Linked DNA regions of Struthio camelus. The protein of the gene in region 2 purifies or fractionates together with the protein of the main gene of each other region. This does not show direct contact. Links are inferred from orthologs where the notes say so. Each region holds a gene or a part of one and is shown on either strand. Other genes may lie near its edges.

Region 1 (6,966 bases), on a different chromosome or scaffold from region 2:
GCCCCCGCTCCTTGCGGAGACAGCAGCGGTCCTCGCCCAAGGCGCAAAGTATCGCCAGCCCCAACGCCGTGCCGCTGCCGGCCCCCCAAAATCCCGAGTCCTGTGCAAGAGGATCGCTGCGGCAGGGCTTCCTCGGCGTGATTTCGCGCACGAGTCCCGGAGCCCCGGGAACTTTTTTCTGCATCAAAACAAAGAGACTTAAAACGCCAAAAAGAGCAGAGGAGCTCTGCACAGTTACAGCCCCGCGGCCCCTGCCGTCCCTGTCCCCAAAACCACATCTTTTGGCATCTTCCGAGCAGAGATCTGGGAGGGGAGGGAGGCTGGACTCGTATTCCCCCGAGAAGTGAAGACTGGATTTTTAACGGAGCAGGACACTGACCCTGAAAACCAACTCCCAAGCTAGGGGAAGCTTCCCCGTCTCGTGACTTCCCCCCCGCTCCCCCGGCTTTGTCCCTGCCTGGGAAAACAAAACGAAACAAAAGGCTTAAAAAGCAAATAAAACAACAACAACTGGGAATTAATATTCAATTACACGGCGGCAGATAAGTGAAAGGAATCAATCTGTGGCAGGGCAGATAAGCACAGGCCTCGGGCCGGAGGAGCAGCTGTCTGCTCGGGGAGATAACAAGGTCATGGCGAAACAAAACGCCCGAAACAAAACGCCCGGCTTCCTCCTCCTCCTCCTCCTCCTCCTCCTCCTCCTCCTCCTCCTCCTGCTCCTGCTCCTCGCCTTCGCCTGGCGCAGCCCTGAGCCGAGCGGAGCCGGGTGCCTTCGCGAACAGCCCTCCGGGAGATAAAACGCCCGGGGCGGCGCGGACCCGCTCGAGGCGCTTCGGAGCAGAGGGCAGAATAAAAACGACGACCGAAAACCACGCGAGCCCGGACCGAGCCGAGGCGGCTGCTCGTTTGCGAGCCGTACTCGGGACGAATCCCAGAGCCGCGAGGCGCTGAGCCCGGCTTTAATAAACCTGGCAGCTCGTCTCCGGGCGTAACTGAAGCCGTTCGGATAACGAAGGCGTTGCTCCAAGGGGCTCTGAGCGAAGCCATCGCGCCTGACGTCGGAGACATCTCAGCGCGCATCAACGACACGCGGGCGCCGGACCCGCGGGAGCACCTCTCCGAAAGGCGAAGGCTGCTCCCGCTCCTGCGGCGGGGCCGGCGCCGTCCCGGAGAGCTGGCGAGAGCCCTGCCCGGGCTCCGCGTTCCCCGCCGGCAGCCTGCAAATCGGCCCCGTCCCCTGGCATGCCGGGGAGCTCAGCGCTGAGACCCGAGCAACTCGTTGCTCGTGTGGTCAGCACAAGGCCACCCTAACCGGTTCCCACCCCTCCCTCCCCGTCGCTTTCCTCTGCGCGGGGGGCCGGGGTGCCGTCCCGCCGGGCAGGGGGAAACACCCGAGGTGCTGGAGACAGAGGGTGGTGGCGGGGAGAACAAATTTGGGACCGGAGGGTTGTCCCGCGCCCCGACCCGCCGCGGCCCCCCCCGTTCCGGCCGGCGGTGGTGCAACGGAGAGCCGGCGGGGCAGAGGGGCTGCGGCGGCCCGCGGCACCCGCCGCCGGCCGGGACCAGCACCCGCCGCCGGCCCCAGCCTGCTCCCGCGCCCCGCGGAGGGTCCAAGACGCGGGCGCTGGCTGCTCTTCCCCCCGGCCCCGGCGGCAGCCCCCGCGGGGCGAGCACCCTCGCCGGGCCGAGGGGCGCCAGGGGAGTCAGTGGTGGTGGCCCGCCTGGAGGTCCACGGTGCCGGCGCCCCGGGGGCCGTCGGGGACCTCTACCTGCACCTTCTTGCTCGCCAGCTCCTCGCGGGGAGGCGCCGGGGGTCTCTTCAGCCCCTTGGCGGACGAGCTGGGCGCCTCTGCCCCGGCCTGGCTCTCCTCCGCCCGCGGCCCCGCGCCGGGCTCCGGGGGCTGGTAGCCCGTCTGGGTGGGATCCAGGGGGTCCCGGGAGAGCAGGATGCAGATGGAGGGCACGTTCTTGTGGACGGTGAGGTTCTGCGCCGGGCTGCCGGGCAGCGGGTCCTTGTTCTCCCACACCTCCAGCAGGGTTTTGTAGCGTACCTTGGTGACCTGGTGAAGGCCTCCCAGCTTCCTCTTCATGATCTCCACGCAGGTGATGGTCTTGGTGACCGCCCTGCCGCAGCCGCTGAAGACGATCTGCCGGCTGCCCTTCAGCTCCATCTGGGCCATGGCGAAGCCCATCAGGTTCCTGATCTTGCTGCCCTCCTTCACTTTCATCTCCACCACGCCGGGCGGCAGGTCGGGGAAGGGCAAGGGGCTCTCCTCCTCCGACGTCCTGACCTTTCGGAAGTTCTCCATCCTGGACTGGGCGACGGGCTTGGCTCCCCCTCCTCCGGCAGCCATCCCTCGCCGGCGGGGAGCGCGGATCCGAGGGGGCACCTAGCCCCCGGCCACCACGACGCGGGTCCCTCCGCCGCCCGCCCGGAGGAGGTCGAGTTTGACGCGGCACCCCCGGGACCACCAGCCCCTACCGCTGTCCTTGGCTGGCTGCGGAGGAGCTAGCAGCTGGCGCGGCGGCGGTGCCGGAGGCTGTCCTGCGGGGAGCCGGAGCTGCTGGGTGCCCGGGGTGTCCCCTGCGTCCTCGCGGCGGCGCTGGGCGATGCCTGGGCTCCTGCGCTCCCGCTGCAGCGCTCGCTTCTGCTGCTCTTTGCTTCATTCTGGACTTCAGCAGCCCCCAGAGCCGTTGTGTGTAATTAGCAGATCCTCCCCCTCTCCCTCCCCTTCCTCCCCTCCTCCTCCTCCTCCTCCCCCCCCCCCTCGCTCAGCCTCCCAGCCCCGCGCCCGGCGGAGGCTCCCCAGCGCCCAGGGCCGGCGAGCGGGCGACGGCGGGGAGCCCGGCGAGCCCCGGCGAAGGCGGAAGGCAGAGCCCAGCGCTCGCCCTCGGCTTCCCAGCGCCGCCCGAGTCCTGCCCCTTAAAGCGAACCTGGTCGCTTCGCCCCCCCCGCGCCGGCCGTCTCGGCGCTGGCTGCGACGGGGCGGCGTGGATAACGCAGGGACGGGGCGCTGGGCAGCCTTCGGGATCGGCCCGCGGCCGCCTGCCAGGCAAAGCCGCCCTGGGGGCGCCCAGGGAGCGACGAGCCCCCAAAACGTGCCTGCCCGGCGCAGAGCTGAGCCTGAACCGCTCCCCGGGAAGAGGCCGTGTCCCTGGCCGAGGCTGGCCCTTTGGCTGCCCTTGCCACCTCCCGGCGTGCCTGTCCCCTCCTCTCCCCCCGGCGGATCATCGCACACTGGAAAGACATCCCGCGTATTGACTTGCACTCAAATCTTATCGGCCTCTGGAGGCCCCTGGATTGTTTTCACCCTGGCAGGGCTTGAAAAATACGTAAATAAATCACTCGACCTGATGCCAACGTAGGTGAAACCTGCGGGACGGCAGGCCGTGGCCGGTCCCCTTCCCGGCCAGGACGTCTCTGCGGGCCCCAAACAACCTGCCTAACCCAGGGGTCCAAGCGCTGGGGCTTCGGGACACCGCAGGGACCCACGTTCGGGGCGGGCGCAGAGCCTAGCGGCGAGGTCTGCAGGGAGAAGGCTGCTGCACCCAAAGAGGCCGGAGACTGGATCCCTTTGGCGCAGACAGGGGAAACCGAGGCAGGGAAGGTGACGCCGTTGGCCCAAGCTCACACCCGGCGTCGGGGGCGGATGGAGGCTTGGAGCGCCCGCTAAGTCCCGCCCGGCGCTCTGCGGCAGTGAGCCTGCCTAGGCGCTACGTTTCCAACGCGAACCGCTCGCTCGCACCGGGAAACACAATGTTGTTTTTTTCCCCTTACATGTGATGAATATTTGTGACATCCTTGCATAAGCCGCTCGGCTCCGTTCTCCGGCAGGCTGCCATGGATTAAGCCTCTCATGGAAACTGCTGCCTTTAAGAGATGCATCTTCAGGCTAAAAGACTAGGAAAATAAATGGGCAGGATTTTGGCAACCATTCACAGAGCATCTCGGCTCAGAGCGAAGGACCGGCAAAGCAGCTCTCGTTAACTTTACACATAAACTTTATAGGCATGGAAATTAAAAAAATCTCCATAAGCGATGAAATAGCTCCAGAAACACATTGCTCCGGCACAAAAGCCACGCGTCTTGCGGGAGTCCGGCGCGCTGGGCTGCTCGAGGCGGACGCAGAGCTCGGGCGCGGATGCAGCGCGCCTCGGAGGCTGGAACGCAGCCGGGGCTGGGGCTTGCAGCAGGATGAGTCCCTGGCGCTGAGCCAGCCCACCCAAGGCTCCCTGGGCCGGGACCAACTCCTGCCGCCGGCGGTCCGCGTTTTGGGCGCAGCGTGGTGCCGGGACGCGCCACGCCGGTCGGATGCTGCATCCCGGGCAGCTTCACCCCCCCCCAATTGCTGCTTAACAAACTCGGCTCGTTTGCAGCCTCCGAGACGAGGTGCGATCACGCTAAAGCGTTTCCGCATCGCGAGCAGGGGTTCGGAGGGCGCGCTCCCCCCGCGGCGGGGGGGCAGCAGCGGCAGGGTCTTGCTGTTCCTCGGCAGCGCTTAAAATGCAAATGCATTTCATTATTAGCAGCTCCGCCGCTAATTACCATCTGAAGCCATTCATTACCCTGTCAGCTTGTTTGTTGGAGGACAGCAGAGCGGAGGGGTTATTCCGAGCTGCAATGAGCTCATGCATAAAGAGCAGCGGAGCGGGAGAGGGGAGCAGAGCGGGGCTGCGGGGGGGACACGCCGGGGCAGGAGAGAGCGGGGAGTCGATTAAAATGCGGAAGAGGCAGATGGTAAAAGCGGGGATGGAGAAGCGAGGAGCGAAGCAACTACGCCCCGCGTGCTGCCTGCCTGCCTGCCTGTCTGTCTGTCTTCCCTGAGCATCCGCCGCTGTCGGGGCGGGCGCGAGGCCAGCGGCCGAGGCTGCGGGAGCCGGCGGCGCTTCGGGGGCACGGAGGGAAGGCGAGCGCGAGCGGGTGCAGAGCTAGACGTGACGGTGGCTCAGGCCGAGACCGGCGGGGGGGGAAATGGAAACAAATTCATAACGGAGAGTAGGGAGGCAGAGAGGAGCGTGCCGTAACCCGAGCCCCTGTCCTCCGCCTGCCCTCTCTATATTTTCTTTCATGCGAGGTGCGGGAGTCGTTCGGAAAGTCGAAGCATCCGATACAAGGAAAGTCGCCGTCCATCTCTGCGTCACATCGCCCCGGCTCAGGTCTCAGGCGGTCATCACGTTGCACGCGGCGGCCGAGCCGCCTGCCCTGAGCCTAGCCGGGGCCTGGGAGCGCAGAGCCCCGTCCTTCCGTCCGCGCTCCCGCAGGCGGCGGCGGCGCGGCCAAGGATCCTGCTCGTCCCCGAATCGCTAGCAATAGCGGCGAGCAACGCTGGCTTGCTGCGCGGCGGCTTTCTCCCGCCTGCTCCTTCAGCGCGGCGCTTGCCCCAGGTAACCCACCGAAATGACCCCAAATCCCAGCCCGTGCTACCCGGCAAAGGAAACGTGTATCAGGTTGCCCCTTTGGGTTATGCAGCTGCTATGGGCTTTGGCCCAGGACTAGGAGACCTGCAGCTGGGGTCACCACAGCGTTCAACCACGGTCTAAGAAATACAAGGAGGAACGGCCCTCCAACACGTCTGCCGAGAGGACGCGGGGCCCGGGGCGCCTCCCTGTGCTGCCGAGGGGCTGTGCACCCCTGGGGGTCCGTGCGTGGAAACCACATGCAAGGCAAACAGGGCCGGGATCAACAGAGTGAGCCTACAAGTCAGCAAATCTGGTGTCCATCACAGGGCCTAGTGGAGGTCAGTCCTTCTGTGCTGGAGAGAAAGCCCTCAGTGATGGCACCCTCCCCATGGGGCTGGGCAGGAGCCGGGCTTCCTGGCATAGGGACAAGAGCAGCTTAAGAGGGACCTGTCAGGGCCCTGAGGGCACTAAAATTTCTTAATGGCCCTGACCAGCATCACCTGGGGCCTCCACCTGCCCACCCTCAGTGCCCATTTAAGTTCAGTCTATGGCCATCAACTCTATTGTAGGGGTGTTGCTCCTCAGCCTGGCCACAGCTGTGCCTGGCTGGGGATGCGGCTGGTCCAGACCCCAAGCTGTGGGCTGACTTCCTAGGCTGGCCTTTGGCTCTGCCTCCTCAGCCTGAGCTTGCTGCTGGTCTGGACTCCTGGGTTTGCCCTGCTTGGGCCTGTGGGGTTGGGCCAGGCCCTGGCTGGTGGAGCCCCTGCCCTGCTGGTTGTGTGTTTGCTGGCCCTTGCTTGTGCCCTGGCAGAGCTGGCACTAGCCTTCCCTGGGGACCCCAGTGGAAATGACCCTTTCTTGGACACCTCAAATTACAGGCAAGTATCCAAAAGGGAGAGACCTTGGGTTTGAGCTCCCATGTGTGGGAGCAATGGGGGCCAGCAGAGTGACTCCAGCTCCAGGCTGGAAGAAGGAGCAAGCCAGCCTGACTGGGCAGAGCACCCAAAGGGAGCAGCAAAGGCCCAGCAGTCCTCTGGATCCCATGGGCCACCCCACAGTGGCTGTGGATGTGACCAGCCCCTTTGAGAAGCCCTCCCTGAGAAGGAAGAGCTTCCCATTTGCTCTGGAAGGGAAGCCCTGGAGGATTGCAAACTGTAAAGAGAGAAGCAGGCAGAGGTTGGGAAAGGAATGGAAATGCTAGTGGGTATGTGTAAAATGTACATGGAGGAAATATGCCTAGGAGGGCCTCTTGAGGCCAGCTGCTTGTCCACCCTGCCCCCTTCCTCCTGTGGAAGGTGCTGGTCACCCTGATTCCCCTGGGTGGATGTCTCCTAAGAGGACTTTTATTTCTAAAGCAAATATCCCAGCCTAAATGCCCTCTCCCACCATCAACACCGCCCAACCCTGGTCTATCCAAAAAGAAACTGGTCCTCCAGGTACGTGCTGCCTGTGACAAGGCTCTTCTGCCCCTGGAGAAGGTCACTTTGCTCCTGTGTAGCTCTCACTCAACCTCTCGCAGAGAAACTGGCTTCTCTGCTTCCCTCTGAGCCTGTGTACCTGAGGGTT
Region 2 (7,692 bases):
GGGTTTAGATGTAAACAGAGGTAGCAAAAAATACAGTCAAAGTAGTCTGAATAGCTGATAATTCTAAGGTCTTTCCTAATGAGACTGCATTACATATTCCTTTTAGTATGATTTGCAAATATTTAACATATGTACCTGAAAAAGATATTAGAAATCATGTCTTAGGCACACAGAATTAGGTTTTTATTCATCGTAAGAAATAAAAATTTTGCATTATTATGCACCAAGTGTAGATTAAATTCCTTTCGCACATTCTGAAACTGGTACTCAATCCAGACTTGGCCTCCAGGACTGCACTAGGCCTAATAGGAAAGCCCTGACTTAAGTCAGCCTATGCAACTGTCTTCAGCAGTGGCTCCTGCTATGGTCTAGTCAGGGTTTTAGTATCACACCAGCAAAGTTGGTAATTCTTCCTCTTGCTCCTTAAATTGTTTTCCACGAGCACAGGTGTTCTTTTCTAGTATCTTCTAAGTCTCAAATAAGACTTGCATAAACACATTTTTGTTATAGCAATAAACAATGTAAGCATGATACATGTAAGCTGGTGCAGTAAATTACAGTACACACTTCCCTGATATCGGCATTTAAATCAATATTGAACGTTAAATAACAAAAGTCTAAAGTTAGCTTCCTAAGTTACAGAAATAAGTAGATAAATTTTCAGGAGTGAAAAGAACCTAACAGCAGGAAAAGGAAGTTTAAAAGGGCATTGAAGTCCATATTTAAAGATTAGCTTATATTCAACTCTTTCAGTAAAGTCCTGGTTAGGATTTCAGGCACAACTTGAGATACGGTTCTCAGGCAGCTCAGGTTAACGCACATGGACTGAAGAGGGCCCAGCCAGCCATTGCCACCATCCCACTCACTGCATCAAGACTAGTGCTAGAGGTAACATGTGGCAATACAGTTCAGGGGCTGCTCTACTGAAAATTAACCTGCGTCGGGGGAGAGGAGTTAAAAAAACAAAACAAACAAACAAAAAACAGTTTTCAGATTGACTGTTTTTTTAAACAAGCTCATCACATTATCCCACAAATGCTTCCACTGAGGATATGAGGAAAGAAGGACAGAGACACAGCCAGGAGCAGATTCACCCTCAATTTAAATGAATTTAAAATGGCACAGAACCTCACTCTTCAGTTTTAAGTAAGCACGAAGCTGAAATTTTATCTTCAGCAGCAATACCATTTCTGTTGGCTTAACCAGTCCCCTCTCAGCCACATATCATGTAGCAATGCAGCACTTCAAACGAAAAATTAATTTGGGGGAAAATAAAAATTAATTTTTACGTAGAATGATTCCCTGATCTATGTTCTCCACATGGCTGCACTAACAGCTGAGCAAGCACCATGCACACAATTAGGTGAGGCGGGAAGGAAACAGCCAGGAGAGAGGGACAGAGGCCGCTTCAGTAAACAAATTTGTGTGGAACTACAGTCTAGTCAACTGTGGGAAAGTAACTTGACAGCAACATATAACAGTGATATAACACACACAACCTTTGCCAAGTAAGTTAGCCTAAAAATGAAGGAAAACATATCTTAAGATCAAAATGGAAGAGTGTTTCCAAAGACAATGACTGATTTATGTTACTATCAGAAGAAGAACTACATTATTTCAGGTACTACACAGGTCCATGGTTTCTAACTCCTATTTAGAATTCTGTTTTCCTCATTTTTACAAAAAACACCCTAAGATACTAAGATACTCACTAACACTAGAGAAGAACGCTAGCTGGGCGAAAGTGCACGCTATTCAAAGGGAAAGAAAATTCTAACCATGTAGTCTTTACAAAGGTCAGTCAGTTCCTCACAAAGTCAGAAAACTGCGCTTAATCTGATAGTACTCCTATAAAGATATCCCCAAATCTTCAAATAGGGCTGACTGTTATTTGCAATGTCATTCTGTCTGCTTACAAACGCTTCAGTCACCTAAATATACAGAGAAAGAGGCTGCAGTGACACTTACCCATTTTTTATTAAACCAGAAAGACACAATTTGTCAACATTTGAAGTCCTCAGAGTAAAAATTCCTGCTCTTGCACTTGTTTCCCCCCTCCCCCTAAAACAAAATAGCTAAAATATCAAAATGTGAAATGAGAAAAAAATAGAAGTCTGATTGAGGCATATGGTACAGGGCACCGGCTGGAACACACAGACTGCATCTTCCGGCATTCAGCTTGACCGGATCCTTCAGCCTTCAGATGCTAAAAGTTAAATGTTCTAGCAATGACCTAGCCGGACTGCCCTTTTAGGGAGACGTCTTGCTGCCTCTTGCCACTACCTTTTCACGGATACAGAGACCACAAGGGCCATAAGGAAAGTGGGTTAGACGTGCTGAGCTGGCAGACAAATAGCGCGTTTACTATAGGACCAGCAAGCTAAACCAGGTCCTTCGGCGGCTCCTCGATCTGACAGGGAGAGAAGGGAGGTCACTTGTATCACCAAAACTGGCTTTAAGCCGCAGGGGGAGGGTGGGGATTGGTAACGCAACCGGAGGGAGGACACAGGAAAAACGCGTGTTAAGAGCCGCGCTGCACAACCGCGGCTGAAGGAGCCGCCGAAAGAGGGCGAAGCGCAGGGTGGCAGCGCCGCGCGGGGGCGGGGCGGGGCGGCGCGGGGCGGGGCCGCGGCCCCTCCCCCTCCGGATAACGGCGCACGCGCCGGGTGCCCGTAGGCGGACGACGCGGCGGGGGGGCAGGGAACCGACGCGGCGGGGGGGGGCACCTCCCGTGCCGGGGCAGCCGCGGCCCGTACCCACGCGCCGCGGACAGCCGTACCTGGCGGCGGGCAGGCCCTGCTGCCGCCGGCCGCGAAGGGCCCGGGCTCGGCGGGCAGCGTCACGCTGGCCGGCTGGTTTCTCATCTTCTTGGCCCGCTTCTTCTCCCTCGCCCCGGACATCTCTGGCCGCGCTGTCCTGTCCCGCTCCCTTCGACAGGCCCGAGGCGCCCGGCGGGGGCTGCCGGTCCCTGCGGGACCGAGAGAGGCGGGCGGGAGTCACTGGGCGGTGCAGCGCCCGGCCGATCCCCTCAGCAGCCCGCACCCGCCGCACGCGGCCGCGCCAGCCCCAGCAGCGCGCATGCGCGCGGCGCCGGCGGCCTCAGCAGGACTACATCTCCCACAACGCCTTGCGGGCGGGGCGCATGCGCGCGACGGTGCCGGTGGCTTCAGCAGGACTACATGTCCCAGAACACCCTGCGAGCGGGGCGCATGCGCGCGGCGGCGCTGCGGGTTGGCCCTCGCGGATTAGGAGGGAGGGAGGGAGGTCGCGGTGCTCGGGGCGTCGGGGAGAAGGTGTGAGGGGCCAGTTGGCTGATGACATGGCTGCCGTGATGAGGAGGATAATCAGCACGGCTAAAGCGCCCGCTGCGATGGGTCCCTACAGGTATACCGCAGCGAGGGGGAGAAGCAGGAGAGAGAGGGAGCAGGTTTTACCGTTAGGGTGTCTAGCAGGTGGCGGGGGGTGGGTCGGGCTGCCCCGCGGCGTGCGGAGGCCGGGGGCCTTCCCCGGGAGTGGATCCCAGCCGTTGTAAGCGAGGTTTGTAAGCGTCTGCCGGAAGGATTTGGACGTGATTTTGAAATCGGTGACAGGCAGCGTGTGGGAAAAAGAATTGATTCCTCACGAAAAAAGAAACCAAAAAGTGCTCAGAAGGCAGGTGTTTTATAGGCAGGTCAGCAGTGAGTCTGCGCTCCGGAGGGGTTGGGGGGTGAGCGTTAAATCCGCTCGAGGGCGTGCTTGGCGGTAAGGGAGCTGACGGACTGGGAACTGCGAGTCTTCTCCTACTTAGTGTGTGCAGCAAGGCCTTGTAATGCTTTTCAGCGTCAAAGCTGGTGGGTGCAAAAATAAACAGGATGTTGTTAGGTGTTTTCTCAAAGAACCTGTCAGCTGCAACCGTTCAGAACGTAATTTAAAAAAATGCCAATTTTAATTGGAGAAAATTTCCTCTTTGATACTTGGATAAGTGGTCAGTAAATATTGTGCACTATTACTTTGAAGGCACTGAGAGATTTTCTTAACAGCATTTTCTAAGAACTTTTAATGCTGCATTCTGACTCCTTCCTCATTGTAAATGCAGTCTCGTTAGATTTTAAGTTTTCTACTTTTGTGCCTTCCAGATGCTTTCTTTTTTTTGCCTCAAGTACTTTGAAATTGCACTTTCTGAACTTTGAACTTCTTTTTTTTTTTTTGTGGAAACTATACAGATAGAGAAATACAACATCTAGAAGCAGAAACAGCATTGTTACGTGAAGGAAACTACCGTTACTGTTCTGTAAACAGAATTGTTGGTGGATTGCAGTGAGGGATTTGGCATTTATTGTGGTTAGAGGAACATCTAAAACGTGGGACAGCAAGAATTCTTCCACTGCGTACATAATAACTGGCCTATCCTTCACCATAGCCCTCCCCTTCTGTTGTAGATTAACTGCGTTCTGACTTTTTTTGCTTGTTGGTGGTTTTTAATGAAATGCTGCTTGTTGTGCAGCCTGTAACTGTTTTCACAGGTCTTTCATTAACTTAATGTATCTGATTCCAGTAAACTTCTCAAAGTCCAGTGAGCAAAAGTTGCACAAGAAATCACTGCTATGTTTCTACCGTGGAATCTGAGCATGGTAACAGAGGAATGAGGGCTTAAATATCAATGAAGAGTTGGGATGTATGGGTGACATTCTTCATTCTGCTCCAGCCCTTCAGCGTGCTTTGTGGTGACCTATTTTTACCATGTCTTTGTATTTCTGTTACCTCATTTAATTTCCAGTAATCTGATATATATTTGTATAAAAACATGTATACAGCAGAGAAGTTGTTCATGTATTAACAATCCTTTCTGTTTAAAAAATAATCTGATTAACTTTTGAGCATGTTTCTTAGCTCCACCTCTCTGATGCATGATGTTTTCCTAAGGTCATAATATCCATCTAGTTATGCACTTCGGTAAACTGAAATCTGAATGGCTTTAGACACGTTCTTAAATCTTTGCTGTATCAGAGATTAAAGAGTAGCTACGATTGCCCCTAGTTATAGGATACATCTTCAGGGGATGCTACTGATAAGCATAGGAGGAGGTGAGGAGCAGAGAATGGGATTACTGTAAGTGCTCATCTGACAGTGTTTTCAGAAAGCTTCTGCATTTTTTTCCTAATTATTCATGATTTAGGACTGTCCAAAGACCTCTGTTGTGCTAAATGCTTCATCGTGTTGTTTCCTGTATAATAAGCAGTGCAAGACAACCTCTGTTTTGGAGAGCTGCTATCTTGCTACTGCATGGAGAACCTGGCATCAAACTGAAGCAGAAGTTTGTGGTCTAACAGGCATGTGCCTCAGACAAAGCAGGATGTTCTGGGAAAGAAAACAAAATAAAAGCAGAGTCTATGTTGTGTTTGTATGCACGTTCTCTATCAACAAGATTGCATCAAGTAGAAAAACTTTCTTTTGCCAGTTTCTCTTCTTTACATTGTGTAGTTTTATCATGTACTCCTGCTTGGTAAGCTCCTAATGTCAGAGAGAGTAATCATCACATAAAGTATTTCACTACATCAGATAAGTTACTAGCTCTTTCTTTTTCCCCCTTATGAAATTGTAGGAGAATGCGGGACAGAGGTAAAAGGAAAGATGGGAGTGATGACACTGTTTAGATTGCCTAACCTTAATCATTTTACTGAGCACCTAAATTAGGTCAGGCTCCCTGTGAAGTCAACGGAGAGAGCAATCTAGAGAAGAAATCTGTTAGAAGTGCTCTCTGAAGGAGTCCCTTTCTTCGTCTATTGACTTTATAGGGAAACTAACCTTCTAATTGAGATGCGTCACGTAGGTATCTGATTCTAGCCTGTATAATGTAAGAGGCTTGTTGAACTATCAGAACAATAACTTTTTTTCTGGGGTGGGAAGAGATAAGAAAAATTATGTTGCCCCACCGCAAACCTTTCGAAAGGAGCCTTTCTCTAGTTTTCTTGCAAATTATTTTTAATTACCAGCTGAAGAGGAGTAAATTATGTCTATTGCATAATGTTTGCTAGGTGGTTTGAATCTTGGTTTTAATCTTTTAATCTCTTTGTGATAATTAAGAGACTTTACCAATGGCCAACTCTACTTCAGCAGAAATGGACCTGACACTTTATATAAAGTGTTTTTCAGATAGTTTGAATTTTGCAATCGTCTGAACTAACTCTGCCAACAGGACACCCAGGTTATTTGTTCAGAGGAGACTGATTGTGCTGGGAATGGAGTGATCAGGGTGCTTTTCTGACTGTCCAAATTCATGACTCTGGAGAAATACTGCCAGAGAACCAGTGTTATTTGGGCAGATGCAAGAAACATTTTAATTATTCTGCCTCCCCTCTGGATTAGCTCTAGTCTGGAAGCTATGCATCTATGTTAGTGTTGCGTTGCTGTGCTAGTGCCTTGCACCTTTTTGAGACAAGGCCTATTATTGCATACATAAAGCCATGCTAATGTGGATGTATGCTTCCATAGGTGGCTCAATCCTAGCGCTTCCAAAGCATAAGCAGAGTGAGTATATGACTGTTCAACTTGTTCATGTATAACCTAAGTCCTGTATCTTGAGATGCTATAAATTACTGAAGAGAATGCAAAGTGTCCATACAGGAGACTACTTGCAGAGATGGGTAGCTAAATAGCTAAATGTTTTGACTGGGGAAAAATATTTCTGAATGAGCTCTCAAAATGTCTTGTCCTTTTTTTTTTTTTTTTTTTTTTTTTTTTTTTTCCTCCCAGCCAAGCAGTACTGGTAGATAGGACCATGTATATTGCAGGACAGATAGGTATAGAACCTTCCAGTGGGCAGCTTGTCTCCGGAGGGGCAAAGGAGGAAGCTAAACAGGTAAGATGTCTTCTAGCAATATGCTTGCTGTGGAGTTGGCATGTGCTCAGTTAAAGGTGAACCCATGAGGAATGGGAGAGCCTTAGGGAACAACCTTCCACATTCTCCAAAATGAGGGAAAACCAGGAGGAAAAATTCTATCCCATCCCTGTCATTCGTCACCCGAACAGCTTGGAGGCCAAGGCAGGAATCTGTATTTCATACAGGAGAGAGTCAATGAACAAAGAACTGGACCCCAGTAAGAAACCTGGCTTTCGGTTGAGGGAAGAGGATTTATTTCCTCAGGAGCAAAGAGGGTGCGTGGAGTAATAGTATGAGATAGGGCTGCATCTTACATTTGTATCTTTTGAGTGGGCAGTTCAATACTGGGGGTTTATAAGAAGTTCCTTTTTATTATTTTACTTTTTCATCTATGGTTTTGCTTGCCCACTGATGACTGTTGAAGATTACCTGGGTAAACTCTTAACTAAACTCTTAACTATAACCATGGATGTAGTCACGTTGCAACACCCACTTATCTAAATACAGCCAAGCTGTACTTAAAAGATTTTTCTCATTTCTTGATAGGCCCTAAAAAACATGGGAGAAATCCTGAAAGCTGCAGGCTGTGACTACTGCAATGGTAAGTGCTGCTGTGGTGCTGGCAGGCAAGTAATGTTTTTACCTGGATTATTTAAAAAAAAAAAAAAAAAAAGGTGACCTTTAAAGCTGTTTGATAACAACTGCTCATTTAGCAAAAGCTGGAGGAGACAAAAGGTGACAGGAGTCTGGATTAAAAAAAATCTACATGCAAATCTGCTTTATGTGATGGATATCAATAAGTATCTGCCTTTTGCTGGAAGTTGCTGCCTGTG

What was found.
Region 1: the proteins of POP1 (region 2) and RPP25 purify together in Homo sapiens (affinity purification with mass spectrometry; 3 studies listed by BioGRID and IntAct, counting the BioPlex papers as one, with this or other methods). This does not show direct contact. The link is inferred for Struthio camelus from reciprocal best matches to the Homo sapiens genes POP1 and RPP25.

What each region holds. Positions count from the first base shown.
Region 1 is NC_090953.1:23,324,686-23,331,651, reverse strand, and holds RPP25 (ribonuclease P protein subunit p25), read right to left. Parts: upstream 2,713-6,966; 5' UTR 2,355-2,712; coding exon 1,704-2,354; 3' UTR 691-1,703; downstream 1-690. UniProt on the Homo sapiens protein: Component of ribonuclease P, a ribonucleoprotein complex that generates mature tRNA molecules by cleaving their 5'-ends. Also a component of the MRP ribonuclease complex, which cleaves pre-rRNA sequences.
Region 2 is NC_090943.1:147,514,567-147,522,258, forward strand, and holds the start of POP1 (ribonucleases P/MRP protein subunit POP1), read right to left. Parts: upstream 3,125-7,692; 5' UTR 2,901-3,124; coding exon 2,780-2,900; intron 1-2,779. Other genes in the region: RIDA (2-iminobutanoate/2-iminopropanoate deaminase), read left to right, coding at 3,320-3,384, 6,733-6,838, 7,406-7,460. UniProt on the Homo sapiens protein: Component of ribonuclease P, a ribonucleoprotein complex that generates mature tRNA molecules by cleaving their 5'-ends. Also a component of the MRP ribonuclease complex, which cleaves pre-rRNA sequences.